Styela clava: one gene and its partners. The protein of the gene in region 1 interacts with the protein of each later gene in a pairwise test. Links are inferred from orthologs where the notes say so. Each region holds a gene or a part of one and is shown on either strand. Other genes may lie near its edges.

Region 1 (7,767 bases):
TATATATTAATCTAATTTGAATTCTTCTGAACCTAAACAGCCTATAACCCGAATATATGGAAAATATTTACTGAAACATTGGGATAGATAGTATAGTATAGTTATTATTGTAAACAATTACAGAGAATAATGCATGATTGATAGTCTTAAATGTCTTCTAGAATTATATATCAGACGATATTGCAATTGTATTGTATTTGTGTAATGGGCGTGAAAATGTCACACAAAATGCAGACTAAATAATTATGAGTGATTCAAGGCTGAACAAAAATTCAATATAATTTGATGTGATAAATATGCAATATGGTCATACATGCATTGGAACCGTAATTTGATTCTATAACAACTTAGGTCTTAGAGAGTGTGGAATATAGCATCAGAAGTCTCATAAAAATTGTGGATAAAAATAATACAAAAAGTACACGACGAAATGAATCACGTCGCATGATGTCTTAAAATGTCTATTTGTTATGTTTTAACTCTCACATGGCATCTCATCTACGAGTCAGCATGATCTATGAAAAATGGTAATATTGGCAATACTGTAACTCGAATGTTCCCATCATGAAGCAAAACAGTTTGCATAATAGGTATCTGCAAATAGTTCTGATGCCGACACATGTATCGATAGAAGTATTGTATAAGACTTTTCTGTTATTATAGAAATAAGTAATTCAATTGGTTTGTGGACAATTTCTCCTGTGTCCCATCTACAATCTCCTTTTTCTCGGGTTTTTCAACTGGCAGTTTAATGATAGTTAATTAACATTGATCAATAATTTACACACATCAACAACTTCCTCTCAAAAGTCTAGAGTAGTTTTCTATTGATTCCTTATTTGCCATCATTGAATATTGTACTCGCAGATATATTTTTCGTTTTTTAGGACGTCATGATGATCAATTTAAAAGCTAGCTAATTCAACATAAAATGAATCAACCGTGATGAATTTGAACTGACCGTAGTGATCAACAACCTCACTTAAATTTGCTTGTTTACAATCCATGACTTTAGAAACCTTACTTGAACATTTAATATATATTCTATATATTCCCGTAACCAAGTTTCCTACCTCTGTATCATACCGCCCTAATTAATTTTAATTATAATTACCGGTACTTTTATTGATTAACAATATTTAAAATAATTTGGACGTTAATTTGGTTAGTTTTGGCTTCTATCTGGTGAGTGAAGCAGGGGTAGCCCACCTCTTCATGCATCCAACTTGGCAATTCTGATTGGGCAATTTGGAATTAGGTGACTCCAATTATAATCAGCTTGACGATATCTTTTGAGGAATATTTTTCTATCCACAGTATATAACTCTTTTTTGACTAATTCGGTATCCAATTCGGCAATCCAATTATTATTTGGTGTGGCCGCAGGGATGGCCATTTCCGAATACTAAGCTATTCCGGATACATTCTAAAATTGAAAATAACACATTTTTGTTTTAGTTTATTAAAACCCAGTAAATTAGGAAATAAGCTTCAATAGAAATATCAGAATAAAGCCACAAACCAACAGTATATGTACACAAAGTAATTGATAGCTCATAGCTATCAATAAAAAAATAATAGCAACTTGTGACACAGTCAGTTTATTAAAATTATTCACTCTGTACAAATGACCATATGAAAAGATAGCCAAGGAGTTGTCTGACGCTTTCTATCATTGGTACCATGATATTTCGATAATAGTCAAGTCTATTGACAAAATACTACTTCAGATAATTGTGTATATTTTCTAAGAGTAATAAAATTTATTGGCAATACAGACAAATGAAACAAGCAACAACAATCGAAAATCCATTTTGCCTTCGAAAATTCTAATATTTAAGCCTAGAGTATTCTACCTCTTACCAGTATATTTGTATATTAATTTATGTGAATCATATTGTTATTATGTGTAACATATTGTTGTGTTTGAAATTAGAAATAAATTATTAGAGGATGGATGACCATCACTGCCAGCCGCGCAGCCAGAATTTTCGAAATCGGAAATTCCCATTGCCGCCTTTAACACCCACCGCGATTCTGCGCTCGTTAAAAGAGCCGTCTTTTCAGCGTATAATGATCATCCTGTTACGTAAAATATTCAATCCATGACAACTACGAGATTCTAAAATATCTTTATATATTAATTTAATGTGTCCAACGTAACTCGCGGCTTCTTCTTCTTACGTCAAAAAAAACATTACTATTCGGTCCTTGGTGATCTGTGACCTAGAAGTACGAAATAAACTGCCTGATGTACTTAATTTTAATACGTATTTTTGCAATCTTGCCAACTCGTTATCGCCGTTAGAAAAATCCCAAATAATGAAATAAAATCTTGTTAAGTGTAGAGTATATTTCGTTTCATACAATGAATATACATATAAAGTTTAGCAGTGAATTTAAAAATACATATTCATCGCCGCGATTATACCACCTGTTAAAAGAGTCAACTTTTACAACAAATAATATGACAACGAATACATATTTTTCTGTTGTGCAAAGTGATGAATTCGTGACCGATTCGGGCATATTTAAAATGTCTTGCTTTATTAATTTAATTGTCTTCAATTTAACCTGCGGTTGCGTCGACAGAATAAAATCCTCACCACTCTTATATACCATTGCACCCGCGGTCATAAAAATAGAAACGTGTGGTAAACTGCCCGATTAATTAAAGTTTTGATCCCTATTTTGCGAATTCGGCAAATATTTAGATGTAGCCTGCTTGTTATTAGTGACTCCGCTCAATCGAAATGCTGCCACTCTGATTATTTTTAGATAAAACCGTTCGAAAAACCCATAAATCTGCTGTAACATCTCAGAGTAAAATTTATTTCATCACAATAAAATTGATTGAATATACTTTAGATTAATTATATTATATACATCCTCAGAACCCGGGAAAAAGTCGCGTTTCAAACCTTGTATCATTATTCGACGGCAATTTAAAGTAATGGATATTCAGGCAAATCCCGCCCTCAATTCGTGACGATATGTTTCTAAACGACGACCAAACATAATGTGTGCCAGAGGCACACGAAATTTTGCGATTTTCACTGCGTAGAAAAGCGTTTTTTAAATTTTCGCGGGCCTCAGTAAAACTTATATCGATTACGGTTTTATTTTCAGTATTTTAAATTGCCGCTTTTCAATCAAAAAGTTGCGTTGTCTCTAGAAACTCGCCGCCGATGAACGTATTTACCAGATTCACAATTCTGTGCGGGTACAAAAATAAAATAATTGTCATCGTTATCGTGGAACAAATTTGTGGAAAAATCACGCGCAAGTTTCAATCGAGAATGTTTTCATTCAACGGAAACGTCTTGAAAGCGGCGTCGAAAATGTGTGACGTCACACAAATATCCGATATTCTTATGAACGTTAATTCCGATATTCGGAAACGTGATATTCGAATACTTTATTCGAATTGGCCATCCCTGGCGTGTGGGAAAAGAATTTATTCATTTTTTTTATTTGTTTGCCAATTTTCTTCTTACTGAGTAATTGATTTTATGTCTCGCTTTTTTCACTCCCGACCTTATCATGCTTCGACGATTGTATGTTTGTGTGTGTGTGTGTGTGTGTGTGCGTGCGTTTATTAGTTTTGATACTTTTGGGTGAGCGAAGACGTACTACTTCTTTTATCAATACCTCTCCACCTAAAATATGTACGCTTTAAACCTTGCTTGAAGTTTCGTTTGCTTTCCCGACCATGTAATCAGTTTTATTTATTTTGTTTTTATCAATTGCTTTATCGTCTATTGCTGATTATGGAGTCGAAATAAACTTTTACTTATACGTATACAATTTAAGCCTACGAAGGAGTACACCATGGCCGCAAATCAAGAGCGCCTCGAAGCGGTGACCTAAACGCACATAACAACAGCTTGATTTACACCGTAACCCAAATAAAATCACATTTGGGACAGATATAAAGGGAAACAGGGTTTGCTTTTCATTTGTTTTCGGGCCTAATTAATTACTTGAAATGTAGGAGGAGGTGCACTAGTTAGAGCTTAGAAAGTGGTCGTCTTGACCATTAAGATTTTAAATGCTTTATCTCAGCTTTCACTCAAGAATTATGAGGAAATGTGGAAACAGGAATACCTGTGACTACCTCTTACCGGTACTGGTATTTCCAGACTTTATCTTTCTGACTTAGGAATCAGAACTTTGCTTTTTTTGTTAATGTACCGGTGCCGGTAGTCGACTTTACGGTACAGCAGTATCACTGGCATTTCAGCATTTTGTTTCTTACTTAGTTCTGTAGTTGTCTGACTTTATTATATTTACAGGCGCGGCGGTGTGGCTCAACGGGTTAAGCGTTAGGAATACGCTCGCCACCGCACCTCTAATTACTCTGCGTGGGTTCGCAGGTTCGAATCCCATGCTCGGATGGTTATGTGCGAGAGGATTGCTGGACTCCTCGCCGTCGTTGGGTGGTTCACGTAACCGCTGGTCGGTTACGGCTTCCTCCACCACCAAGTCCATGCTTCCGAAAACAAACAAGACAGTGTAACTAACTAATCCCATACCCGACTTGGAATGGTAACCGGACGAGAGGCCGTGGTTCGCCATATGGATAAGCCGTCTTATCGCCTTTCCTCTCCCCCGGGATAATTATGTAAATCCTATCCTATCCAATTTGGTGAACATTCTAAACAAATTTCATAAAAATTCTGAAATTGGTAAGTTTCGAAATTTGTAAATACAATACACTTTATATTCCAATATACATCTTTTTTATTAAAGATTTTGAGCAATAATACTAAATTTGAATAATCATACTCGAAATGGGAGAAGAAGTAATGAAAAAGACGAGAGATACTCTCGGAAAGATTATTAAAAAACCTCCACTGACGGACAAGTTGCTTTCAAAACCACCGTTTCGATTTCTACATGATATATTCACAGAGGTTTGTATGAAAATGTTTTTGAATAAGTTATATCTCAAAATTACGATCTTGATGGTGTGACTTTTGATGAAAATTATTTGCCTCCTAAATTAAGCATGTACTATCCTTTAAAAGCGAGGATTGGCATATCAATCAATATATGAAATAGTTGGCTATTCCAAATAATAATTGCCAAACATCATCAATATTTTGGGTTTAAAATAGAAAAAAGCTGTTAATGGTTAATGTGATAATTTACTCAATTAGTACCACAAAGGAAAAAACGAAAATACTTTTACAAAATATTATGATTTTTTATCATATTTGTCCATAACCCATTTGATTTGTTCAGGGTATTCGATAGTGGGTTTTGAAAATGACAGTTTTTGTAAAAAATTCTCACATTTTACTGCTCAGCTGTATTTAAGACTAATACGATTTCTGATCTAAATACAGTCATAAAGACAGAATGATTACAATTAAAATTAGTGTGTGTACCAGGTTAGGGTTCGGCCATAATTTAATCCGATTTTCCTTATGTTAGTTCAGTAACGAGTTCGGGCCCTCCCCATATGTTTCAGTCCCTCCACACAACTTGATGTAGAGTAGGCGAACAAAATTAGTTACCTCAATATTGGAACACACACTTCTGGAGCGCCGTCTTGTTTGTACTAGCTGATATCTAATAATGTACTGTTGATTATTGTTATAACAAATATGCAAACTTTCTAGGTGATCAGAACAACAGGATTTTTAAATGGACTGTTTACTTCATCAGAGATGGATTCTAAGAATGTGTCTGTAAGTTGTTTAGTCAGATATAATTTAATTTTTTATCGCATTCATCATAAATGATGGGAATAAAAACAGTAATTATTAGTTTAGATAAACCATCTTGCCGTGAATAAGCCACTCTCTGTTAAGCAAAGAAATAAGGCCCTATTCTGAATTTTAACCAAAAAATTTTTAATTTTTATTTTGTTGGGGATCCTATACATGGAAAGCGAGAGATTTTTACGGCCTTCAAATTTTTGTAATCGTTCAGGGCAAGAAAATATCTTCCAGTGGTACCAAATTTTTTTGATACATTCTCCCCTTGGCTCATTTCCCCAACATGTCAGAGTTCTGTTTTCGGTTGTTCTTTAATCAATAATGGATTATAAACTAGTGATCTGCATAACTTGCACTCTGAGTTTTGTATGCTTTATTTGAATAGTTTATAATGTAGGCAAAAATATGTATTATAATAATATCACACAAGTAAAAGATATTAGTAATACTATGGAGAAAAATTTCCTCAGGTAAAACATAAATTTTTTTCTTTGGGGTTAAATTTCACCTCGATTGGAAAACACTGTTGCCATTAATAACCCATGCATGGCCATCCAAGTCTTCTCATCCTTTTACCCTTCAGTTTTTAGATAGTTATGTTATTTACTCCATACAGATGCATGGACACTTTTCACTAGCAGTTTCTTCTTTGTTTAGGCAAAAGAAGATAAAATGGCATTTCTTCAAAAAGTTATCGACGTTGTGTCAATAGTATCTGGTGACCAACTAGCTGCTAGACCATCAAAAATTGTCGCAGGACACGAGCCTGAGAAAACTAATGAATTACTTCAAGCGATTGCTAAATGTATTCATAAAAATGTATGTTGTTGATCATTAGTACCATAATTGAAATTTAATTTACTACTAAGTGCTAATTGTAGGAAACATGATTTCAAACATCTCATTAGAGGTAGTAGGAAATTGTGTATCGAACTGCAGGTCTGTTCTCATTGCCTACTTCAGATTCATATGAAGTGGTTGTTGCCACAAGGATGCTTGAACGAGATAGTATTGAAAGATAAATAAGAATATCATAATCTCTCCCCATGAAATAGCAAGCATATTTGAGAGCTTCCATTAGATTATAGTCCCTAACTTCTTCAGATAAAACGAGACATAAGCTAATTAAACAGTGAATAATACATAATGTATTGTCATCTAACAAAACCTCCATAATATACTTGCTATTTGGGGAAAAAATGATGTCATTCTCATTAGCCACAACTTTTTATTTGAAATCCAAAGAGACACATGCTAACTATGTTCTAAGTCTAATTTTTCTGATATTTTTGTGTATTTGTTTTCTTGACTAGAATCTTGTTTAGGAAGAGAATCAAATATTTTGTTCAAAATTTAATATAGGTTTCATCAGATGATGCAGTTCAACAAGTCCTCACTGGTAAGAAAACATCATCAAAAGTTCAAGAGAAACCTCCCACTGGATCTTCAAAAAAGAAAGAAGGAAAAGAAAACAGGTTATTATTAAAATGAATTTCAGCTTTTTTTTTTTGTAATACCAACTCTTGAAACAGTGGCTGCTGGACCTTCAATAAACACTCATATTTTGTAAACATGCTTTAAAGTAAATGGTCTACAGATGCTTTGACGCAATGCCATAGAACAGGGTGGTCTAAGGTTGTCAGCTCCGCGGGCCACAAAATCATTTTTGCATTGCTCGCAGGCCTCAATAGTGCCAGGATTAGGTGAACAGTGCAATACAAAACAGACGCTTTTATTGTGCAAACACATAGTTATCAGACATTGCCATCCAAGGCTAATAGAATCCGCATTAGATTTTTAGTTTTCTATTGTTAGCATGTATTCCCGACCAAAAAGATAGAAAGCCAGATAATAATTTAGACTGTCAAGCACATCATTCAACTTCGCTAGTTGCCTCAACTAGCCATAACACTAGTCAATTCAGTGACATTAGTGGTGTAACAATATGTAAAAAGATTTTTTTCTGATTAATTTTATTACAAAACAATTCGAAATGCTATTTTTTGATTACTCTCCGAATGTGACACGAGCCACAGATAAT
Region 2 (7,485 bases), on another chromosome or scaffold:
TCTTTCATGGCCCATTTTTATTGCCCAAATATTCTTGTGGCCCATTAACTTTTTTATTGCAAGGGGAAAACTGGAAGTGAAATCAAGATCTTTCTGCGAAAACTGGCACTTCAACGTTTTTTATTTGAATTGGAATTACCACCTATTAGCAGTAAACAGCATTGTCATTGATTGTAGCTAAAATCAAAACTAACTATTGTAATATAAATAAAACTAGCAATTTTTATCAGTTCTGTGGCCCAACTCAAAATCCACTGGTTTATAACCAGTGGTTCTAGTCACAGTTGATTGATTTTGATATTTTAAGCCAATTGAAAGTTCATTATTATTTTTCAACATTAGGATAGAAAATAGCCTAAATATTCATCCACGAGAAGGGAAAAGACAATAAGACAGCTTGATCATATGGCTAACCATGTCCTCAGGTATGGGATTAGTTTTTGTGGGCATGGACTTGAGTATAAATGGAATAAATGTATTTATCAGCATTAAATGTATTTAATCAGACTTTCCTCTCACTGAGATTATGAAATACATTGACAAGATCCACATACTTTTGGTGCTTAGTGAACTTCATCATCTGCTGTCTGTACTTAGTCATGATAAGTTCCAATGCGTTCTGGTGGTCGGTCAAACTTTGTCGCAATTCATCATTCTCATGTTGTAGGGACCGAATTGCATTATTTTCTTGCTGAATACCTTGAAGATAAAAGTGTGAATTTAGCAAACATAATTTTTTTTTTATCAGAAGTATTATTTGAGATCCACATTTGTTTAAAACAGTGGTTTCCAACCTGGAGACGGGGCGGGTTTTCAAGGGGGTCGCGAAGGTCTTGCCAAACAGTAGAAAATAGTACAAAGCTCTAGGTTAAATATTGCCAATAGAACGAGAAGAAGTCTGGAATTGACTCTCGTTTGCCTCCGAAAGAGGCAAGCTGCGCGAGTTGTATATGGCATGTTAACCATTGTGACGCCACACGAACTCGTCTGCATTTCCGCGCCGTGACGCGGTAAACACACAGGCTTCGAAGCAATGCTGTGGAACAGGATTTCAATACCAAGGGGTCTACTGCAGGGTAGGCTTGTAGTTTGTGAAGATTATCATACATCTTGAGATTAGCTTTGTCAAAAACTCAAACCACGAATTACGCAGTTGGCTACGCGGTTTCAATGCCAGCCATCACAGCTGCAGCTTGATGAAAAATTAAATTACACAATATTCACTTTACCGCTTATTTTATTGGAAAGTACAGAAAGTGAGGCAGAGGGTCGCGAGGTATGTGTAAACCACCAAAGGAGGTTGCAAACCAAAAAAAGTTGGGAACCACTGGTTTATACATTTTTACAATATTTACATTTTTTTCTATTCCAAACTAATAATAACTTCCACCACTTCCTTATAACCACTAATTTAAGATAATTAATTCTTAATTACCAATTTCGAATTGAAATTTCAGTACAAGATAAAAAAACGATCACGTCATGTCCGGAAATATCATACAGGCAAGCAAAGATAATCATAAAAAATATCACATTAAAAACATGAGCAAAGCTAGCACTGGTTCTTTTAAAAATTTGTCTTACCTAAGACTAAAGTAGACCTTGGTCTGTGTCCAGCAACTTTGTTCAGTTCAATCAAATTTTCTTGATATGTGTTTCTCGCTTCCATCTCTTTCTTGAGAGTTGAAGCCTGTTCGGCAAGACTTTCAGCAGCGCTGTCATGATCCTGGGATAATAGATGAAAATAAAAGAATAATCTTTCGATAGTGCATGCTAGAAAGCACTGAAAATTTGTGACCTCCAGAAGCATGTTGGCTCCGCCATCTTGGTTCACATACTACAGGAGTACCAAAATTTGTTTCAATTGTGTGGCCCGCATAAACCCTGGCTGATCGAAATATCACTTAGTTGGTTCATAATCCAGGGTGCAATAACTTTCAAAAGATTTTTAGATGCTCGTGGCTTTCAAACTAATAAAATTATACTTGGGTCTGACCAGGAGAGAAGATTAGAAATCACTAATTTAACTAGTACATTCACAGGGCCTTTTAGTGGTTTAGAATGATTCGAAAGACTATGACATCACAATTTTCCCAACAGAGAAGGAATTTGATATATTAGTAAACATACATACATACATATACAGACATACCAATATTTTTCACTATTAGTCTACTATAATACTGATCAACGTAAGTTAATTTATAGTTCAACATTACAGGTACTCGCACTTCTGCTCTTGGACATTGGAGTAAGCAGTAACAAACCAGCCTTTACATGAACTGACATACAATAGCCACAAGTCAGTATTCTAATATCTGAAGAAACAGAACGGTTCATGTGACCGCTGGTCTGTTACAGCTTACCACACAATCAAGTCCATGCATCTGAAAACTAATAACTGGTTGAATGAGCTTCATATCCAATATGGCCCGCGAACCAGACAAGAGACTGTGGTTCGCCATGTAATTAAGCTTTCTTAGGACTAGGATAGACTGATAGAATTTACATTTTTATCTCGGGGGGGGGGGAGAAGAAAGACAATAGCATGGCTTAATCATATGGCAAACCACAGTCTCTCGTCCGGTTACCAGTCCATGTCGGGTATGGGATTAGTCAGCCAGTTATTGACTTTCCCTTCCCAGGGATAAATATCAAAACCTGAATCAGTAAAAAAGCCGGAAGTCTGCCTCAAGAGGATTGAATTATATGTAGAAGCCTTTATTAACTGTCAAAACATTGAAATACTCTACCTTCAATCTTGTAACAAGATATTTAGCGTCCGCAAGCAACGACTCGATGGTGATATTCATTTTTGCAAACTAGTCGATGTACAAGGAAACTAGACTGATTGCTCTTCAAAAAATACCCTTTTTTCTTTTTCAATATGCCAGATTTTAAATTTACTTTTTGCAAAAAATCGTTTTCTATGTTGATAACTTAAAACAAGATATATGATATAACTAAAGATATTTTGCTCTAAAATACAGTTATCCAAAAAAATGTATTGAAAATGCATTTTTAGCAATAAAATAAGAAAAATGACGGTCTGAATGTAGGACATCAGGCATAAATTTGGTAACTTGAGGAAACAAAGAATGTATCTCTATCGCCACTAACGGTATTATTCCCACAAATCGTTCATGGTGAACTGACCTTTTAAAAGTTTTCACGAGTGGGTGAATGTTTCAGGTATTTTTGTTTATGATAACATTTATTATAAATTTGCAATAAAACAATATAGACGGCTTCTTCCCCAGTTAACCACATTATCAACCACTTTCTTCTCGAGGCGCCAGCAGCCGATCGAAATATAAGGACTTTGATCGAAATGATAAAAACATTTTGGAAGATTTGCGCGAATTGAGGTACTTTTGCGCGAATACAGTTTGGGATCAAACGGGGCTTTGAGAAGATATTTGGAATAGCCTGTTTTTTTTTATACACGGGCTTTGTCCTTTTTTATTTTAAACAAGGCTCTTAGGAGGCTGACACTGCGATACAAAGAGATACTGATTCATAATTACCAGAATGAATCGGGTGCAGAATGGAGAACAGTTACCGGTACAGTTCAGTTACATTTCACAGCATACCGTACCCGGCACCGGTACGGTACCGGTAGCGTTCGACTGGAGGTTATTATTTTATGTAGGCTACCGGTATCATTCTCAAAAACAGCCGCACAAGAATGCAAGCTCTAAATCATTACCGGTACATTTTTGTAAATAAGAAGTTGAATGCCTGTTACCTTCGGGAGTGCAGACGGTTGTAATTGTACATGTCTGCTTTAACGATTCTGTCTGTTGTAGCAAGTCTATGCATGCCACTTTCTCACATACTGTACATAGCCTAGTTCATTTTCTCATGATTAACTTTTGTTTTGTAAAAAAATTTCACTGATCAATCAATTTTTTCTGTAATCACGCATAAGAATTAATTTGAAAGATATCGCTCGATTTTACATCGTGTCTTGATTTTATTGTTTTCTTTTGACTGTTTTTGGTGGACGGGCACGCACTCGTCTGTTTTTTAACTTTTCTATTAAGTTATGCCCAGGTCCTCTGCATTTTGTTTGTCTGTTTGTTGTTGTTTTGTTTCTTTCAGAGTGACCAAAAAAAAATTGATTGTATCTCCGGGCCAGACTGGATTCCATGGCAGGTGCACGCCCGAGGGCGCTAGCGCTCCGCAAAAATGCACGCGAGCGAAATCAATTTTGCACGCCGAAAATTTGCAATTGCTCACCAATGTAAATCGGTTTAAATAGTTTTAAAATCAATAATCCAGTAATATAAAGATGCCAAAATATTATAACTCCACAATTGTCGACAAATACCAGCTTGCAAGATTTGGTCTGATCGAAATATTGCGAAGCAAAAAGACCATGGACCTTTCCCCAACCTTTGACCCGCGAAAAATTCCTCTCATTGTTACGTCCTTTTTTGCATCTTGCTGATTGGCCAATGTCACGAAGTAAACAAGGAAGTCGATGCTCGGGGAAAGGTTCATATCGTGTTGAATGATAGGAAATAGGAATCCCGTGAGAATAGTTATGGACGAAAAGATCGCCTCCGCACCAATGGCCAAGTACGGCTCTGATTCAGCGTATTTTTCATACAATAATTTTACACGAATGTACTGAACAGTACCGGTATCTAAAGTTGCTCAAACACTCCCAAAATTAGTGACAAAGTATGAAAATAATGTTTGGGGTCAAAAATCAAACTTCCATTTTGCTCTAATTTGACGTATTATTTATCCATTAATTCTACGTAAAAACACTACCAAAATTAATGACAAAGTATGTCCATTTTGCTCTGGTTCAACGTATTTTTTATCCAATAATTTTACGCGGATGTACTGAACAGTACCGGTATCCAAAGTCGCACAAACACTCTCAAAATTAGCGACAAACTGTAGAAATAATGTTTGGGGTCAAAGGTCAAACGTCCATTTTTTCTCTGATTCAACGTATTTTTTTATCCGATACCGGTAATTTTACGCGGATGTATTGAGAGGTATCTGATGTCAAAGTCAGTTGCACGCGAGTGCAGTTGTTTTGCACGTCGTGAGCTATAATTGCACGCCAGGAATTCTTATTTGCACGCGGGAATTTCTGATTGCACGCCCGATTTCTCGTTCAAAAAGGCCATGAAATCCAGACTGGTCTCCGGGTATAACATGTAAATCTTATCCTATTTCTAAAGCTTCTGCGTCTAAAAATTAATAAAAACTATATAAATTTGCAAATGGTGTTGTAATTCAGTAATATCATACCTCTTTGTATATAATTTTGATTTGTTTGTTACCTAATTAGGCACATAGACACATTTTTACTTGGTGAAAATGAATACCGGATTCTTGATTCTTTATTTAGTATCATTGCTTGACAATGTTTTCATCTTCTCAGAATATTTTAGATATAGTATTAAACGGACAAATAATCATGTTGCCTACTATTAAGGGGTCGTTACTAACTTTATTTTTACTCACTATTTGTAACCTTTTATGTGAGATATCGGCAGAAGCAAAATTCAATGACATTCGGTGTCGCTGCACTTGCAAACAACTTATTGCTCTCAATATTCCGAGAAAGGTTTATACAAAAGATGCAGTTCAAGAAAAATGTAACTGTTTAGATGTTGTCGTTCCGGAATTGAATTGGGCAAATATATCTGGCGTAATGCTGGAACAATACTGCCTCTTGTGTCAGTGTAAATATGAAGTACGAAGCACTAAGACTATGGAGGTTGTTGTCCTGATGTATCTGATTTTAATTGGAATATTATTCTCATATTTGGCAATTGTTGGATTAGTTGATTTTATCGGTAAAAAGCGGAATCGAGAACAAGGAGTTGAAACTCAGAATTTAGTCAGTGAAGATCGACCCTCGACTTCATCTGAAACTGCCGAAAATATGCGCTTTCGCAGCCATCGGAGGCAGCATAGTTCTACAAGTTCTATGATGATGAATCGACTAACAAACGCACAAGTAGAGTGGAAGCGACAACTAAAAAGCCAACGGGATAAAGTCTTTGAGAGTAGAAATATTCTGCAATAATGGGAAAAGATTGCACGAATTCCTCGCCGATGAAAGGATGAATTGATTGGATTTTCTTTGCCTCTACAACACAAAAATAATCCAAACTACTTGAGATTGATATTAGAAAGTGGTTCCTCATACTCATTTTTCTATTTTTCACAATATGTGTATGCAAGTCTAGGTAATAAAGGCTTGTGTTAGAATCCAAATCAATTAGCCGACACCTCTTTGTTACCCCCTATTTTTTGCATCGGACTGTTTAGTAATTCTCGACCCGGTGACGAGACTATAGACTCACTTACTATCATATGATTAAGCCCTCTTTTTCTGGACTAAAATGAAGATCATATTAAAGCAATTCTATAAAACCTCAGTCTTAAGGTCTAGTTTACTTTTGTTACGTAGGAAGCCAATTCGGGACAACCAACATGCTCTTTTTATACTGCATCGAATTCTTGGCCATATTGAATACTTTATTTAGAAACCTAAAACTTCTCTAGGTTTTTTACTAGGAACTTAGACTTGCAGTTTTTTTGTGATTCCTGTGCACAAGTTATTCGTGATTAATTTTTTTTGTTTTTGTTTTGTGCAATAGTCAACTTATTTTAGCAGCAAGTTTTAGTTTGTGTTTCAGTCAAGATAGTTATCCAAGATTATACCAATAAACAGTATTTCCTGGTTATTAAGTCGCTTCTCTCGACCCAATTTTTTGACCTGATTTTAGGGGGGGCTGTCTTATTGGGCGGCTATTATTTTATTTTTTCTTGCTTCTTGGAGTCTTTTTTTACGCACATAAAATTATTAGTGCATATTGTTGCTAACTAACCAACAGAGAAGCAATTTCACTGTCCGTTTTTATTGGAGCTTATATGGAAAACAAACACTTAAAAATCATTATGTGAGTAACAAGTGTCAGTGGCTGTCTGCTACTCTTCTATCTCTAATCTAATTTCTCGTGAGGGCAATCTTGTTTTGATTAAACCTGAATTGAAAGCTATTTCACCTTTGGGAATCAATGATGCTTGAATAGTTTCTGGGTCATTACTTCCTGGGGTCAAATCTTGTGTAAAAAAAATAAAACATAATATATTTTATATTTGAACCATGCAGAAAATACTTTATCAGTGTATTCAAAATTTCTCTCTCTGTTGTGATGTGATATTATAGCAATTTATTACTTATTTAGATCAAAGTAATATCTAAATTTTCTAATCTATCTTTTGGTATCGCATTGGAAATATGGATTTGAAAGACGTAAAGTTTGGAGATGAAATGAAGGATGAGTTTCTCTTGGATAAATCATGTGCTTTTGTGAACCATGGATCTTATGGGCCAACTCCTAAGAGAGTGGTGGAACAGAAAGTCAAGTAAGTTCTCATTTTTGAATATTGGGATTTATCAGTTATTAGTGTTCACTTTTTCATAATGCTAAAAATACACTGTGC
Region 3 (7,837 bases), on another chromosome or scaffold:
ATTCTTTTAACGCATCATATTCTTTTTCAGATTTCTCCTTCAAGCCTTCTAATTCATTTTTCAGTTTGTTTTCCCATTCAGACTCCATTGTTTTCAATCGCATTTCATGATTTTCAACCATTTTTCTATTTTGTCCTTCCAGTTGTTCTAATTTTATTTTGATTTCATTTAATTCCGTTTTAGACTTCTCAATCATAGATTCTTTCTCTGTCACAGTCGTCTGGTTTTCTTTAACAGTGGCTTTAAATTTTTGGGCAAGTGCTTTTAATCTTCCACCAGCTTCAAGAAATTTCTTATTTGTTTCTTCTTGTAATTTCTGAAGATCCAATTTCTCTTTTTCTAAAGTAGCAATTTTCACCACAGATTCCTGTTTTTCTTTATCTAACTGTGATGATAAATCACCGATTGCAGATTTATGGCTTTCCTCCATATCCAAGACATGTTTTTTCATTGTCTGTTCTCTTTGTTTCAATTTCTCTTCAGCAGCATTGCAAGCTTGTTCAAGTTCCTGTTTCTGAGATTGTAAATTTTTCAGATTTTCCTGCAACGTTTCAAGTTCTCCATGAGAAACTTCATTCTGCTGTAAGCTTTCTTGTTCTTTCTGTGAAAAGTCCTGCTGCAAGTTTTCCATTTTACTGTTTAGTTCTTTAATTATGTTATCTTTTGCTTCAATATTCGAATTCAAATCTTCTTTTTCTTTAGTTGCACTGTTTTTGATTTCTTCTAATTCGTTTAAAGAATCCTTCAATTGTGTATCTCTTTCAAAAAGTTTAGATTCTATTTGCGAAAATTTGATACTTAAGGCTTCCCTATCACAATTCAACAGAGTGACTTCTTTTTCGAGTTGGGAAACCTTCTCTGCTTGTTGCTGAAAAAGTTCGTTCCTCTCTTTACCTTGTTCATTTACTTGTGTTTTCAAATCGTCAACTTCTTGTAAGTATGATTTCTCAGCTTCTGCTAACTTTTCAGTCCATGTCAATTCTTTTGTTTGAAGTTTGTTTTCAAACTTTTTCTTTTGATTTGTGAATTTTTCTAAAAACTCTTGAGCCTTCGAAGTCATATGATCATCATGATATTTTTTAAGGCTGTCAAGTTCGAATTTATGTTCTTCACTCGCCTTTTGAAAATTGTCTTTTAGAATGGTAATTTCCTCTTCATGTTTGTTGGCCTCATCCACTCTTGCCTTTTCAAGCTCTTCCACTTTTTGACGAACATTCTCCAACTCTGTATCTAGTTGTTTCAACAAATTCTGAGCTTCAGTGTCTTGTTGTGAGACTGCAGCCATTTTATTCAGCTCTCTCTCCTCAATTGCTAATCTCATTTGATTCTCTTTTTCATCCAATTCCAGTTTATATTTCTTTGCTTGTTCTTGCAATGCAACTTCATGCATTTTTGTATGAGCCTCTAAATCACTTTTGTGTTTTTTCATTACATTTTCAAGTTTCTCATTAATATCAAGATTATCAGCTTTTGCATGTGAAACCTCAGAAACATAAGTTTTTCTTTCCGCATCAAATTCTTCTTCAATCTTTGTAATTCTGCCTTCCATTTCTTTCTGTATAGTTTCAGTTTTCAATAAAGCATCAGCTCTTTGAGCTTCTGCTGTTCTACCAATAGTAACTGCCTTTTGAAGTTCCTCCAACAAAGAATTTTCCCGTTGCTCTTTCTTCATTTTAAATTCATCAAGATCAATTTGCAGTTTCTTGACTTGTTGATGTAAGGATTCTACTTCGATATCTTTACCTTCAAGAATCTCATGCATTTGTCGTTTGGCCTCTGCAACAGCAGTGACTTTGTCCTCTTCAATTTTCTCAATAACGTTTTTTGCTTCACGCAATTGTTTGATAAGTTTCGACTTTTCCGCAACGTTCGAATCTTTCAGGTTTTCTAATTCTTCTAATCGCTCACTAAGTTGTTCTTGTAAAGCATCACCTTGGCTTCTTAGACCTTCACAAGTATCTTTAGCAAATTTGAGTTGTTCTTCTAAGGTTTTGACCCTTTTTTGAAGCTTTGAATCATCTCCCTGGCCTTGAGCAGTTTCAGTTTGTACTGGTGGTGGAGACTTCTGCGGATCATCTTTAAGAATTGCAACTTGAGTATGAAGCACTTGTATCATTTGATCTTTTTCTTCCAGAGAAACTCGAAACTCCTCTTCGAGATGCATTTTGGCTTTCAAATCCAACGCTGCGGCTTCTTTGAGTTCCTGAATTCTGCGTAGATTTTTATCTTGGGTCTGTTGCATAACTGATTGCAACTTTTCTCTTTCTTGTTTCGCCTCACGAAAATTAGAAGCAAGTTCTGCATATCTTTCTCTATATTTAAGAAGAGTTTTCTCCAGTCTCATTACTTTTGCAAATAGTTGTTCTTTGGGAATTGCACTTACATCAATAGCATTCCGATTCATTGATATTTCTTCTGTATCTGAAATGGAATCACTTCGCCGACGATCGTTAGTTTGTGCAACAATATCCGGTTTAGATCGTTCATTGGAAGAACCTGTTACATTGCCACGAACTTCGTCAACGAGAGAACTGATTGATTCCTTACTTTCCGAAAGTTTATTTGCAACTTGATCTTTAAGAGGAGTCAAAAATTCTAGTCTCTTGAAAAATGGAACTTTTTTCTCAGCTTCAGTAGCTATCTGAGCACTTTTTTGTGCTTGATCCGTTTCTCCATGATTTGAAGGATTGGGAGAAACATCACCTGATATATTTCCCACCTGTTGTACAATATCTGGTGATTCCATGGATTCATTATTTTGTTTAGTAGCTGCACCATTGGCACCATTCAAACTCTCAGAATTGGATCGCCTGGGTGGCGCTGAATTGGATGGTCGTGGCAATCTAGATGTTCCAGTACGACCAGTGGGTGTGCTTGAAGCATCACCCCGATTGGCAGACTGTGGAGTTCGAACTTTTTGATCAGTAGATACTTTCTGTTTCAAGTTTTTAAACATGATTACAACCAAATTATCTGCAAATATTAATTTGGGAAATCAGTTGTAATTAATTGTAGGACTTGAGGATTTCCCGATGCAATAGTTAACATATGCAAAATCTGCCTATCCACTAGGATTAAAATAGAATCAGCTCGGCAGTCGGTGCATCATGGTAAGCCATCGCATCTCTGATTACCCTGAACAGGTTCAAATCCCATGGGAGGTGATTATATGTGAGGGGATAAACAGACTTTTCACCCAACAGACTTTTCTGCCAAATAAGACAGTTTGAGTTAATCTTTTTGTTAATAATACATTGGCATTGGAGTTGCCTAAAAATACATGTGGATTCATAGGAAATTTGGGCATGGGTAGGGGGTTACAGGGTTAAGGTTGTACAGAAGCCACAGGTTGCCCATATATGGCACTAATGTGGTGGATAAATATCCTTAATCACTTAAATCTTAAAATATTTGAGTGTTTATTTAATATAATTTAAAAAAACTGCCATGTCAAAGTCATAACTCAAATCGCCATATGCCATCTAGTGATTGGAATGGTCTGAGGGGGCGAAACGTCTGTGGATCAAAAAGTCTGTAAATAATTACAGATGAGTAAGCACAGGAGTATAAGTCAGTGATAAAAAAAGAGAGAATTTATTATTTCGTCAAACAAAACACATAATATAAAAAATTTCAATAACAAAATAAGTGGAACAAAAGTTCACAGTATGACTGGGAGGTAACGATACAACAGTAATATAATTTATTTATTAAGTTAATTTGATTGAAGAAAAAGAAGAGTACACATGGCGCTTTTATGAGATATAAACATAAATTCGGACAAGGATTTAAATGAGAACTAATTAGAACTGCATTGCAACTCTATACAAAAATATTTCTACAACAGTACAGGAATAGACATATATAAATTAAAGCAGATATGAATTAGCCTATTAACGAACTTTTGACAAAGATGGAACAAAACTACAGAACTAAATTACGATAATCCAGAAACCATTTCTATTCTAGCAATAAATTATTGACTGCACAAAGAGTAAACTTTGGAGTTTGGAGTATCAAAAATTGTCAAATCTGTCCATCTATTTCACTATTGCACGTTGAAAAAATATTTATCACAGTAAATTATGAGATTCATGACAACAGTAGGCCTACTTATATTATATAGTTACCGTACATTACATAACTATGGAGCGCCTATCATATGAATCTAAAATGCCATCCAACTGCTGAACTGAGCAGATTTGCATATTTATCCCGGGAAGAGGAAAGTCGATAAGACGGCTTAACCATATGGCGAACCTGTCGCCCTTGCCAGCTTACCGGTACCCAGTAGACTAAATATAAATCGAAAACAATTTCAGTAAAACAGAGAAAACGAGATATCATATAGCCTAGATCTAACTTATAACACATTCAAGATGACGATAACATTAACACGTCGCAGTGAAATTACGATGCAAATTTTCAGTAGCATGTAATAGTCATTGATTGAGCGGAAATAAATACCGTAGTTACATCATGCAATCCAAGAAAACGTGTAGTAGCCAAAAAATATATTTACACAATTGTTAATACAAGAAAAATGAAATCTCAGATTGTAAAATACATTTAGAAAAATGGAAATTCTTGCCCACTAATTACGGAAGATTGGTGACGTTCCGCATAGAATCTTATCCACCACTGGAACTCTTGTGTGGAGGATTGATTTTAGCATGGTTAATTAACCATGATTTTAGCATAAGTTCATCATAGCCTATTCGGTGAAAAGCATTTGTTACATGGTTGCGATTGCTACTAGTTGAGCGGTTTATTCTCGTAGAATTTTCCGTTTACTTGGAGTTACATTTTGAAATGAATAGCGATTTCGACGAAAGAAGCGGTGTTGCATGTTGCAAGACTCCCTGGGGTAATTGGTATCAAACTGTGCAGGACGTGGTTGTTGTTGTTGATGTTGAGAAAGGGACAAGGGGGAAAGAAGTAAATGTGGTGATTGAACCCCAGCATTTATCTTGCGTTGTGAGGGGGAAGGAATTATTTAACAGCCCCCTACCGCAAGGAATATTGGTGGACGAATCAACTTGGAGTGTGGAAGATCAAAAATTAATCCGAATATTGCTTGTGAAACGCAGTCGCAAGAAAGAAAATTGTTTTTGGCCATCATTATTTGAGGGTGGAGAATTTGCTGTAGACCCTTTAACGAAAGATCAAATGCAAAAAAATTTGACTCTCGAAAGATTTGAACTCGAAAATCCAGGATTCGATTTCAGTAACGCTGAGATCACAGGGAATTATGAAGATGGTGGACCAACTCTTGACCTCAGAAAAGAGTATTAACCTTGAATCTCCGAAAGCAATACTACATTTTACTACTCGCAAATCTGAACTTAAGCAAACATTACCTAGCACAGACTCAGAAATGGAGCATACAATAGTACAATGTCTCCATGTATGTTGCAATAAGATTGACAATGTCTCATTATTCATTTTAAAAGAATGTTGCACATTATTATATGAAAACAATATTGAAAAATGTCTTGACAATGCAGAAATGATACTAGACTTAACATGGGAAAAGTTGAATTCTTTTCATTGGAAAAATGTCCCGCTTGTGTGGCAAAAACTATATTCATTTGCTTGTGTCTTCAAAGCTTCGTGTTTGGGCTATAATGCCACAACAGATGACGATTTGATAGAAATTTGTAGAGTCTCTGACATGGGCTTGCTAATGGGCCATAATGTAATGAATGGTATATTACACAAAATTATTAAAATTTTTAAACCTGCCCAACCGAAATATATTGAGACCCAAAACACTGAAAATTATGAACTAGATCCAGAAGTACATAATCCAATAAAAGTCTTATCAAATCCATCTTTAATTTCTTTCCAAGATTTTATGAACCATGCTCTTCCCATGGTGCTTAGCGATTGCATTGATCATTGGCCTGCTATGGCTAAATGGAATTTTCAGTATCTTAACAATATTGCAGGACACCGACTTGTACCTGTAGAACTTGGTGCTAAATACACTGATGAAAGTTGGGGTCAAAAATTAATGACTATTTCAAATTTCATTCAAAAATATATATTTAATGATGATTGTACATCAAAAGCGTATTTAGCACAACATACACTTTTTGATCAAATCCCACTGCTTAGAAATGACATATGTATTCCAGATTATTGCTGTATTTCAAAAATGCCAGATTGGGACCCTGATACTGATACCGAAATAAATGCTTGGTTTGGACCTGGTGGCACTGTTTCACCATGTCATTATGACAAAAAACACAATCTGTTATGTCAAGTTGCGGGACGTAAATATGTACGGTTATATCATCCTTCACATGAGAATGCTCTCTACCCCCATGAGGGAATGTTAAACAACACATCAAAAGTTGATGTTGAAAAGCCAGATGATACAAATTTTCCACTTTTTACTGAAATGGATCGTAATCATAGGGAAGAATGTATTTTACTGCCTGGCCAGATGCTTTATATACCTCCTGGTTACTGGCATTATGTTAGATCGCTAGATAAAAGCTTTTCTGTAAGTTTCTGGTGGAATTAATGTTTATAAATAAAACTTGTTTGTAGATTATATTGAATATTATGCTTCTGGATTCTGACTGGGGTTTAGTGGCATCACTCCTACACCCATTATGTCAATTTGGCTTGAATATTTATATTCATTTTCCAAATTAACAAAGGCATATCTAGCACAAACAAAATATTATGAATTATTTTGCACACAGATTCAATGGTATATGTAGCAACATTTACCTGTCACAGGTAGCAGTGGCCATTTTGAAGCACCGCATGTAATGTACCAATTTAAAAAAAATCAATATATGCAAGGTCAACGATATCAATTTGACTTTCAAATTCGTCTGAGACTTCATATGGATACTGAACGTGTTGAATACTAATGAATGATAGAATTTCCCGTCAAATTGTGTTATTGTTCTTTCTTGTCAGTAGTTACTGTCTGGTTTTATAGAGTGATGAATGCAGTTTTCCTTTAACAATATGCCACCTTTTTAACAATACATTGTGCCTATTTTATCATACATGTTGAACTACTAATAAATATAATCTCAACAATTGTACTATTTAGTTGCCTGTGAATATGTAACAAGGAGATTCAGGATACCGAGACCCGTGGACTTGGCATATACTTCTTTAAGAAAACATTTAAGAAAACAGTTTGCAGTGAAATACCAGCAAAAACGTCATGACGAGGCTACCTCTAACGCACTACAAGCCTGTTTATAAATGAAGAAGAAGTCGTAACCTTAGCAATTATCATACCATTCTAATTCCTTTGCAGAAGAGATAACCACTATTCACAATCTGTGATTTTGTTTTATTTAAACAACTAGTTTATGAAGATCACTATAACAAATAAAATATATTACTTTTGCTCCATTACACAGTGCATGCAGAAAATTATTTACAGCTCTCAGGGATGTAAACTCCTTATCTGGTGGTGGCTTCGAAAATTTCAATGAATCTGCCAAAATTATGAACATTATAAAGCTCCAAATATCTCTCAGTATAATGGGGAATGCCTGAATAGAATTTTGTAAAATTAAGGATAGAAAAAATGTAGTCATGAATTTTTCATATTGTTCCGGTAGCATTTTTGTAGATATTCAGATTCATATAGTCATAGTGCATTGGTATAAAAACATTTTGCTAGGTAAATAGATCACTTTTAACTATTGTCAAACACATATCAATCCATCGAATAGAAAATTCCATTTTCTTGTCATTTAATTTGGTGTTGCATGTTACCGAAATAAAAGTTGGAAGAAACAAAAATGCAATGCGAAAGCAATTAAAATGTGAAAAAATGGAAAACAGAGTTTATTAT
Region 4 (7,198 bases), on another chromosome or scaffold:
TTTCGAAAAAGGTAAATAATACTTCTAATGTATACCCAAATCATGTCCAGTATGGAGCATTATACAGAAAGTAGTCCATGAACCGAGTTATATTACAATATTATTCATATTGAGTAAGCATGTAAAAATGGAAAAAATGCATTATTGAAAACATGTGCAAAAAGTTTCATCTTGTCAACTTTTACTCCTATGTCAATATATTCAATTATTACTTTATTTATTCAATAATTACTGTAAAAAAATAGCAGAATAAACCAGCTTTTTAACTTGACAGATATAAAAATAATAAACCCTACAAAATTATTAAAAAATGTATTTTAAAATGAAACATAAAAAAATGAAACAATTTAATATAACCTTGTCTAGAAATTTTAAAGTTTTGAAATAAAAAGAACAACAATTTTTATATTACTAACATTAAAAATCAGTGTTTACGGAAATTAATAAAAAGCACTGAAAGAATCTGGCACCACTGCCGATTCGTAACATCGTGCCATGTTTGTTGCGATTATAATATAAATCAATTCGATTCAATTCTACAATTGAAAGTTCGTTTCCTGACTGCAGGACTGTTTTAGCTAGAAACTCTCGAATTCTAGAGTAAATTTATTTCGAATGATTTCACTATTTATTTAGCAATAACTTATCCATTCCGTACAGCAAAGTTCTATGATTTCAAGGATATCGCCTATATTGAAAGACATTGATTATAACAGTAGGAGCAAACCCCTCATTTACGAGACAGTCTGTAGAGACAGTCAATTAAATATTTACTGGGGCATTCCAAGCATGGCACGATCTGATGCATCTGCCTTCGTGTCGGGGCAGACACTCTTGTTTCAGAGACAAATGAAGTGTTTGTTTTCATTGCACACTTTCCAAATTCCAAGAATGTCCCGTCATTTGGTTCAATAAAACAAACACTCCATGTGTCTTACAAACGAGGGGTGTCTGGCACAACGGCAGATGCGTCATATGGTGCCATGCTTGCCTCGATTATAATCTAATATAATCGTGGCGGGCACACTGGCACATGACCAAAATTGCCATTTTTTGCTAAAAACTCTCAAATGCCACGGTCAGACGATAGAAATAATTCTCCTTCTGTAAATCGGACTATTTCTTCACCGAGGGAGTCAACTATGACGTTTTTAGATTGCGCTTCTTTGTAGTTTTTTTGCGCAATTCCATATATTCGTATATCAATGAATGCAACCTCCCCCCCCCTCCTTCCTTTAACAAGCCAGTCTGGGCCTTCAAGGGGACAAAATCTAAAAATTACTCAGAAAAAAATAATCTGATTTACCCAAAGAAAAATATTGGGTCTAGTATAGTTTAGTACAACAAGTACTTCCAGTAGGCGTAGCATAACGAATTTTGCATATGTTATTCCTAACCACCACCTGACTATGCCATCCAAAAATCACGTCACTACGACATCACCATTACGTCATAGGGCTTGCCAAATTATAATTACGATCGCCCGGAAATGGCATCTGCGTCGCGATAACGAACTCGGTAAAGCCGGCGATCTCTCTCCTATCGAGTCTGGATTTCATGGCCATTTTGAACGAGAAATCGGGCGTGCAATCAGAAATTCCCACGTGCAAATCAGAATTCCCGGCGTGCAATTATAGCTCACGACGTGCAAAGCAACTGCGCCCGCGTGCAACTGACTTTGACTTTAGATACTGTTCAATATATCCGCCTAAAATTACCGGTATTGTATTGTATTACTATTTATATACTTTGTCATTACTTACTCAAATGTCTAAAAAATGAACGTTTGACATTTGACCCACAAACATTATTTTTATTTTTTGACATCAATTTTGGGAGTGTTTTTGCGTAAAATCATTGGATAAAAAATAAGCCGAATCAGAGCCGTGACTGACCAGCGTCTGCGAGGAGTCTGGGGATCTATTCGCCCATAACTATTCTCACGAAGTCCCTATCAATCAACACGATGCGCCATACCGCCAAGCAATTATGAAAAACATGATCTTTTTTGCTTAGGCATTTTCTGACCAGGCCAAATCTTGCAAGCTAGTATGTCTGTATGCAGGTATGAAATCGACAATTGTGGAGCTACAATTTGTTGGCATCTTTATATTACTGGATTATTAATTTAAAAACCAATTAAACCAATTTTCATTGGTGAGCAATTGCAAATTCTCGGCGTGCAAAATTGAATTTGCTTGCATGAATTTATGCGGAGCGCTAGCAACCTCGGGCGTGCACCTGCCATGGAATTCAGTCTGGTCTCCTAGTCCTATCGCAGTATCGTGATCGTTGTGACAAGAAAACGAGAAAAATAGCTTGCTCGATTTCGGGTGATCGTCTGCGCGTTTTGGACGACCATTCGCATACTTTGGTGGGCCTTATTACGCCACTGTGATGTCGAGATGACCTAATTTTTCGGTGACGTAGTCAAGTGGGGGTTAGGATTGACATACGGTAGCCTATGCAAAGCCTATGCAAAAATTGTTGAGCCAGGCCAACTAGAAATGCATGTGGTACTAAACTATACCAGACCCAAAAAATTACCATAGCATTTGGGAGTTTCAAAGTTTATCATGAATGGCATTTTTGCAGAAAAAAAATTTTCAACATTAGTTTTAATTTAACAAAGAGAAACATTTTACAAAAATTAAATTTGTCACCAAAAACAATAATAGGCTATTCATTTCAGCATTTGGTAGCACAGTCAGACAGTAGCAATCACGGTACCGGTAGCAGGGTAGTGTATGCGTGTAAGTCGGTTCTGCAATCAGTCACTGGACCTCCATCTCTGAAACTCCTCAACGTCAAGAAGCTGAAAATTCATGCACCTATCACTGTGACGTATCTGTATCATCATGCAGTTTTGAAAATTTTGCGCTCGACGGTAAAAACTATTGTCCAAGCTAACTCCATTTCAAATTAGTGTCTTTCAAATGTCTGATTGTCTGCAAATAATAGGCAAAACAAAAACAAATCAGAAACGAAAGCGAAGGAAAAGCGACTGAACCCGAGTTGCCGCCATTTTACGTTTTGCGTCATAATATGACCCCTGACCCTCTTCACGCAACAATGGATTTGTTATTTCAAAATTTCACGTCGCTTTGGTTGTGGGGTTGTTGGTATGTATATAAATTTATAAATAGATGTGTAGACTAAAATAAATAGATGACTATCCTTTCAAAAATGTCTCTTTACATCTTTTATTCAAATGTTAATAATATTACTCTACTGTTATAATTGTAACATTTATGGATATATAACCAGTGGTGGGATTCAGCCGGTTTGCACCGATTCTACAGAACCGTCTCACGGAATTTTCTGAGATCAGCGAACCGGTTAGCATTACTGGTTACTGTCAATGGATTTTTGCATCTTACCTGAGACACCGATTTTTGAGAACCGGCTGGAAAATATGACTTTTGTGATGGAACCGTCTGACAAAACATTTGAATCCCACCGCTGTATATAACGCTTATTGTAATGATGGTAAAACGAGTTGTTAACAGTAAAATATTTCACTTATGTTATTAAAAAAAAATTTTGGTTACCGATGTTCTATTTCCGATATTAAACGACAGATGTCGTTTTTATCTCAAAAATTTAAACTAAAATTGGAGGTATTCGGGAGGTATGTACTTTGGGTGCGAGTAAAGTCGTAACCATTGAAGCGAACTGCTCCCGCAGTGGATGATTACCCCAATTAAATGTTTGTTATACTTCACCATATCAAAATTTTTGATGTGAAAATTTTAGCTTAGTTGGTCGCAGCTTTGGGGCTAATTTTTAATGCTGCAATCACACTAAAATGCTCGACAGTCGACAAAACCCGATATTCCACTCAGTGACCATTTCACGGTGACAAATACAGCTATGTCTACGCCCGTTTATACAAGAAAAAACGCTCAGCCTCAACAGTTGCTGCTACTTGCTAGTAGCGTCATAACGATCTGTATTGTTGTGTGCACGCTTGGATAATCTCGAGAGCTCAGACGAATCTCCTCCAAACATTCGTCATTTATGTCGGAGCTCAAAGAAGCTCACCACAGTCTCACTTCATTCTGGAGGTTATCCAGAAAATACAGACGCTCAATCTCATCCACCTGGACTGGTTTATTCGGGTGAAAAATTGATATCAAGGAAAAAGTGAAGGATTGTCAATGGAGCGTTCCCGAATAGAGCAGCTGAAGCCGTCGGCATATGGAAGGTATACGGAACGTTGGGAATACTGGGAGGCTGAATCAGCACAGACGTTGTCGCGTTGAACTTGTACTTCAACTACTCTGGGTATTGTAAAATCTTTCAAGTCAGCTATTTCACAAGTTTCTTTGTAAATATTCGATGCAATGTCCGATTCATTGCGTTCTTAAGTGAGAACGCTCTAAACGGAGGATGTGAGGCTCTTTACTGACGCACACTGACTCCGACCGCGTGGAGTATGCGCGCGAATGGTTCTATCAGAATGGTTCTATATGATAGAAAACAGTTCGCTACCTTTCACATATCTTAAAACAATGCTTAGTTGTTCTGTCCCTTACGGACACAAACGTTCTCCATAATTATATCTTGCATTATCATATTGCTTGCTACCCCGAGAATCTCCTTTTGTATCAAATCTCCACCCCCGGTGTCGATACGAAATTGAAGATGCTTTGCAAAATTTCCATTTCCCAAATGTCCACGCGAAGGTATGTTACTCGAAGCATAGAACATAACAGTCTTGACAATGAAAGCCATTATCATAGGCGTAGCCAGCAGGGGGCGAGAGGGGCCATGGCCCCTCCCAAATTTCCAAGATTACCAAGATCTGATAATGCCCAGAGTAGTCGAGATACAAGTTTATCACGACAACATCTGTGCTGATTCAGCGTCCCAGTCCCAACGTTCCGTATATCTTCCATACGTCGACGGCTTGAGCTGCTCTATCCGGGAACGCTTCATTGGCAACCCCTCGTTTTTTGCTTCACTATCAATTCTTCCTCCGAACGAACCAGTCCGGGTGGATGAGATTGAGCTTTTGTATTTGTTGGATAACCTCCTGAATGAAGTGAGACTATGGAGATCTTCTTTGAGCTCCGACGTCAACGACGAAGGAGCTTCTTCTGAGCAGTCGAGATTATTCAAACGTGCACACGGCAATATAGATCGGTATGACGCTACCAGCAACAACCGTTAATGCTGAGCGTTCTTTTTCCTGTAGGAAACGGGTCAAGACATGGCTGCGCCCATCAATGACGTCCAATCCCCTTTTCGATTTGTGTGTCCTTTATTGTCATCGTGAAAGGATCACTAAGGAGAAGATCAATCGGGTTGTGGCGAGCATAGTTGGCGGAAAGCGAAGGACGGGTTTTTACTGGTTCAGATTGCCTCATAAATATTTGTTGTATCAAAGAAAAAGTTGTTCGGGAAAAAATATTGTATTTACAAAAAGCCAGCTAAGTTGTTGAATGTTATTTTCCTTAACGATCGAATGTGGTCTTTTTCTGCTTAAAGAAGTGATGTCTCAGACCCAATATCATTGCTTGAAAATACAATATATATTTGGCCCCCACCAAAATTTTGGGCTGGCGTACTTTTGGCCATTATTATTCTGTTTTCTTTTGTTTGAGTAGCATATTGGGCCTTTAAATTCACACACATAATTTGACCAATTTTAATGCTTTTGACGATGTATGACTCAGGACTTACCCTGCGTTGCGCTGGAAACGAAACAACAACTATCGCCATGTAGTTCACATTTTTGTCACGCATTTTAGCCATTTTCCGAAAAGAATGATTTACTCGGCGGCAGTGTATGTATGTGGAAGGGTAATATATGAAACTGGCGGTGTCGAAAAATAAAGAATTTTTTTGGATTCATTTTTACGGAGTTATTCCATAACTACGTACTACTAAATAGCTTTATTGACAGTGACAATATACGCAGGTATATGCATTAGTTGATGACCATATATCCATAACAAATAAAGAAGGAACCTGGCGAACGTTGGAAGTTATTGAAAAAGCGGCGATGTAATGTTCTTATATGTTGCATAGTTAAGATACTATCAGTGTAAAGCGTTTCAGATATACACTGTAGATAAACAGCTCTTTACCTATATTTCGCTAAGCAACTATATGAAATAGGGTAAGTTTGAAACAGTATGTATCGCATAGATCAAAATAGTCGATTCCCCAATATAGAAAATCTAGTTAGCCATTTATCGCTGGAAATTTTGTTATCCATTCGGGATTTGAGAAGAATAACAGCTTATCGTAAGCTTGCTAATTGAACCCAGTTGCAGGCATGCAAATCAACATCCGTTGCACCAGTTTTATCACCATTTACTTTGACTCTCCCGCCGCGTTTGTTATTTGTGCGATGTCCTCATGCTCCGCATTTAGCAGCTCTGATAGTACTTGCAGCTTCCGCATTTCACAGGAACCGATTCCGATGGTTTAGCACCGATTGGTAAAATATAGTAACTAACTACAAACGAACATTTGCCACATTTGAGAGTGGAGTTGCTCAGAGGACGCTGTGTTAATATTCCAGTTATAGTTTTAGAATCGCTCAAACGTGGACTCATTTTTAAAATATCAGTTTTAATTGTAATGAGGCTATAGAGATCACTAAATTGTATTCTATGGAGTTTAAAGGACTGCTAGCTTGGACACTATAATGGATAACTTTTATGGATACAGCATAACGCAAAGCGAATGAACAAGAAGCTAGTCCAAAATCTCTGGTATAATGTTTCTATATTTTTTTGAGAGGACGACAAAATAATATCGAGGACAAAATTAGCAAAAATACTAAAGTTCAATTTGCTTGAAATGGTAATCTATTTGTTGAATAAGATTCATAAAATGATATTTGCCATTATGGTTAATTGTTTTCCAAAACTTTTCAGCTTCAATTCATTATTGCAAGGGTGCAGACTAGCCGAGATTGCTGCATTTTGTCAATCAATTATAACAATTCAACAATTGACTCCCTTCAAATACTTCTCATTGTATAGCGAAGATATAACAATGCTAAATTAATTAGTCGATTTTCAAAACTAGGAATTTTCTGCCCCCGCGTCTGTGACATACAGACGTTATTTTTCTCCGAGGTTCTTTTTTCGCTTCGCCGATGCGGGCCCGAAAGTAGAGAGAAGTCGTGCAGTCGACCGAGGTCTTTGCTCGAGGCGGGTCGTGTTTGCGATAAGCTGGT

Evidence for each region.
Region 2: the proteins of TRAF3-interacting protein 1-like (region 1) and FGFR1 oncogene partner 2 homolog interact in a two-hybrid assay, tested with the Homo sapiens proteins (2 studies listed by IntAct). The link is inferred for Styela clava from reciprocal best matches to the Homo sapiens genes TRAF3IP1 and FGFR1OP2.
Region 3: the proteins of TRAF3-interacting protein 1-like (region 1) and uncharacterized protein LOC120335522 interact in a two-hybrid assay, tested with the Homo sapiens proteins (2 studies listed by BioGRID and IntAct). The link is inferred for Styela clava from reciprocal best matches to the Homo sapiens genes TRAF3IP1 and GOLGA4.
Region 4: the proteins of TRAF3-interacting protein 1-like (region 1) and structural maintenance of chromosomes protein 3-like interact in a two-hybrid assay, tested with the Homo sapiens proteins (2 studies listed by BioGRID and IntAct). The link is inferred for Styela clava from reciprocal best matches to the Homo sapiens genes TRAF3IP1 and SMC3.

Annotation. Positions count from the first base shown.
Region 1 is NC_135261.1:18,105,751-18,113,517, reverse strand, and holds the start of TRAF3-interacting protein 1-like, read left to right. Parts: upstream 1-4,755; 5' UTR 4,756-4,793; coding exon 4,794-4,916; intron 4,917-5,627; coding exon 5,628-5,696; intron 5,697-6,383; coding exon 6,384-6,545; intron 6,546-7,088; coding exon 7,089-7,201; intron 7,202-7,767.
Region 2 is NC_135254.1:4,415,714-4,423,198, reverse strand, and holds the start of FGFR1 oncogene partner 2 homolog, read right to left. Parts: upstream 3,002-7,485; 5' UTR 2,814-3,001; coding exon 2,754-2,813; intron 1,727-2,753; coding exon 1,585-1,726; intron 700-1,584; coding exon 555-699; intron 1-554. Other genes in the region: proton-transporting V-type ATPase complex assembly regulator TMEM9-like, read left to right, coding at 5,390-6,058; uncharacterized protein LOC120332696, read left to right, coding at 7,280-7,407. UniProt on the Homo sapiens protein: May be involved in wound healing pathway.
Region 3 is NC_135251.1:16,301,485-16,309,321, reverse strand, and holds the start of uncharacterized protein LOC120335522, read right to left. Parts: upstream 3,006-7,837; 5' UTR 2,957-3,005; coding exon 1-2,956. Other genes in the region: nudC domain-containing protein 2-like, read left to right, coding at 4,813-5,295; bifunctional peptidase and arginyl-hydroxylase JMJD5-like, read left to right, coding at 5,258-6,532. UniProt on the Homo sapiens protein: Involved in vesicular trafficking at the Golgi apparatus level. May play a role in delivery of transport vesicles containing GPI-linked proteins from the trans-Golgi network through its interaction with MACF1. Involved in endosome-to-Golgi trafficking.
Region 4 is NC_135259.1:4,477,018-4,484,215, forward strand, and holds the start of structural maintenance of chromosomes protein 3-like, read right to left. Parts: upstream 3,021-7,198; 5' UTR 1-3,020. UniProt on the Homo sapiens protein: Central component of cohesin, a complex required for chromosome cohesion during the cell cycle. The cohesin complex may form a large proteinaceous ring within which sister chromatids can be trapped.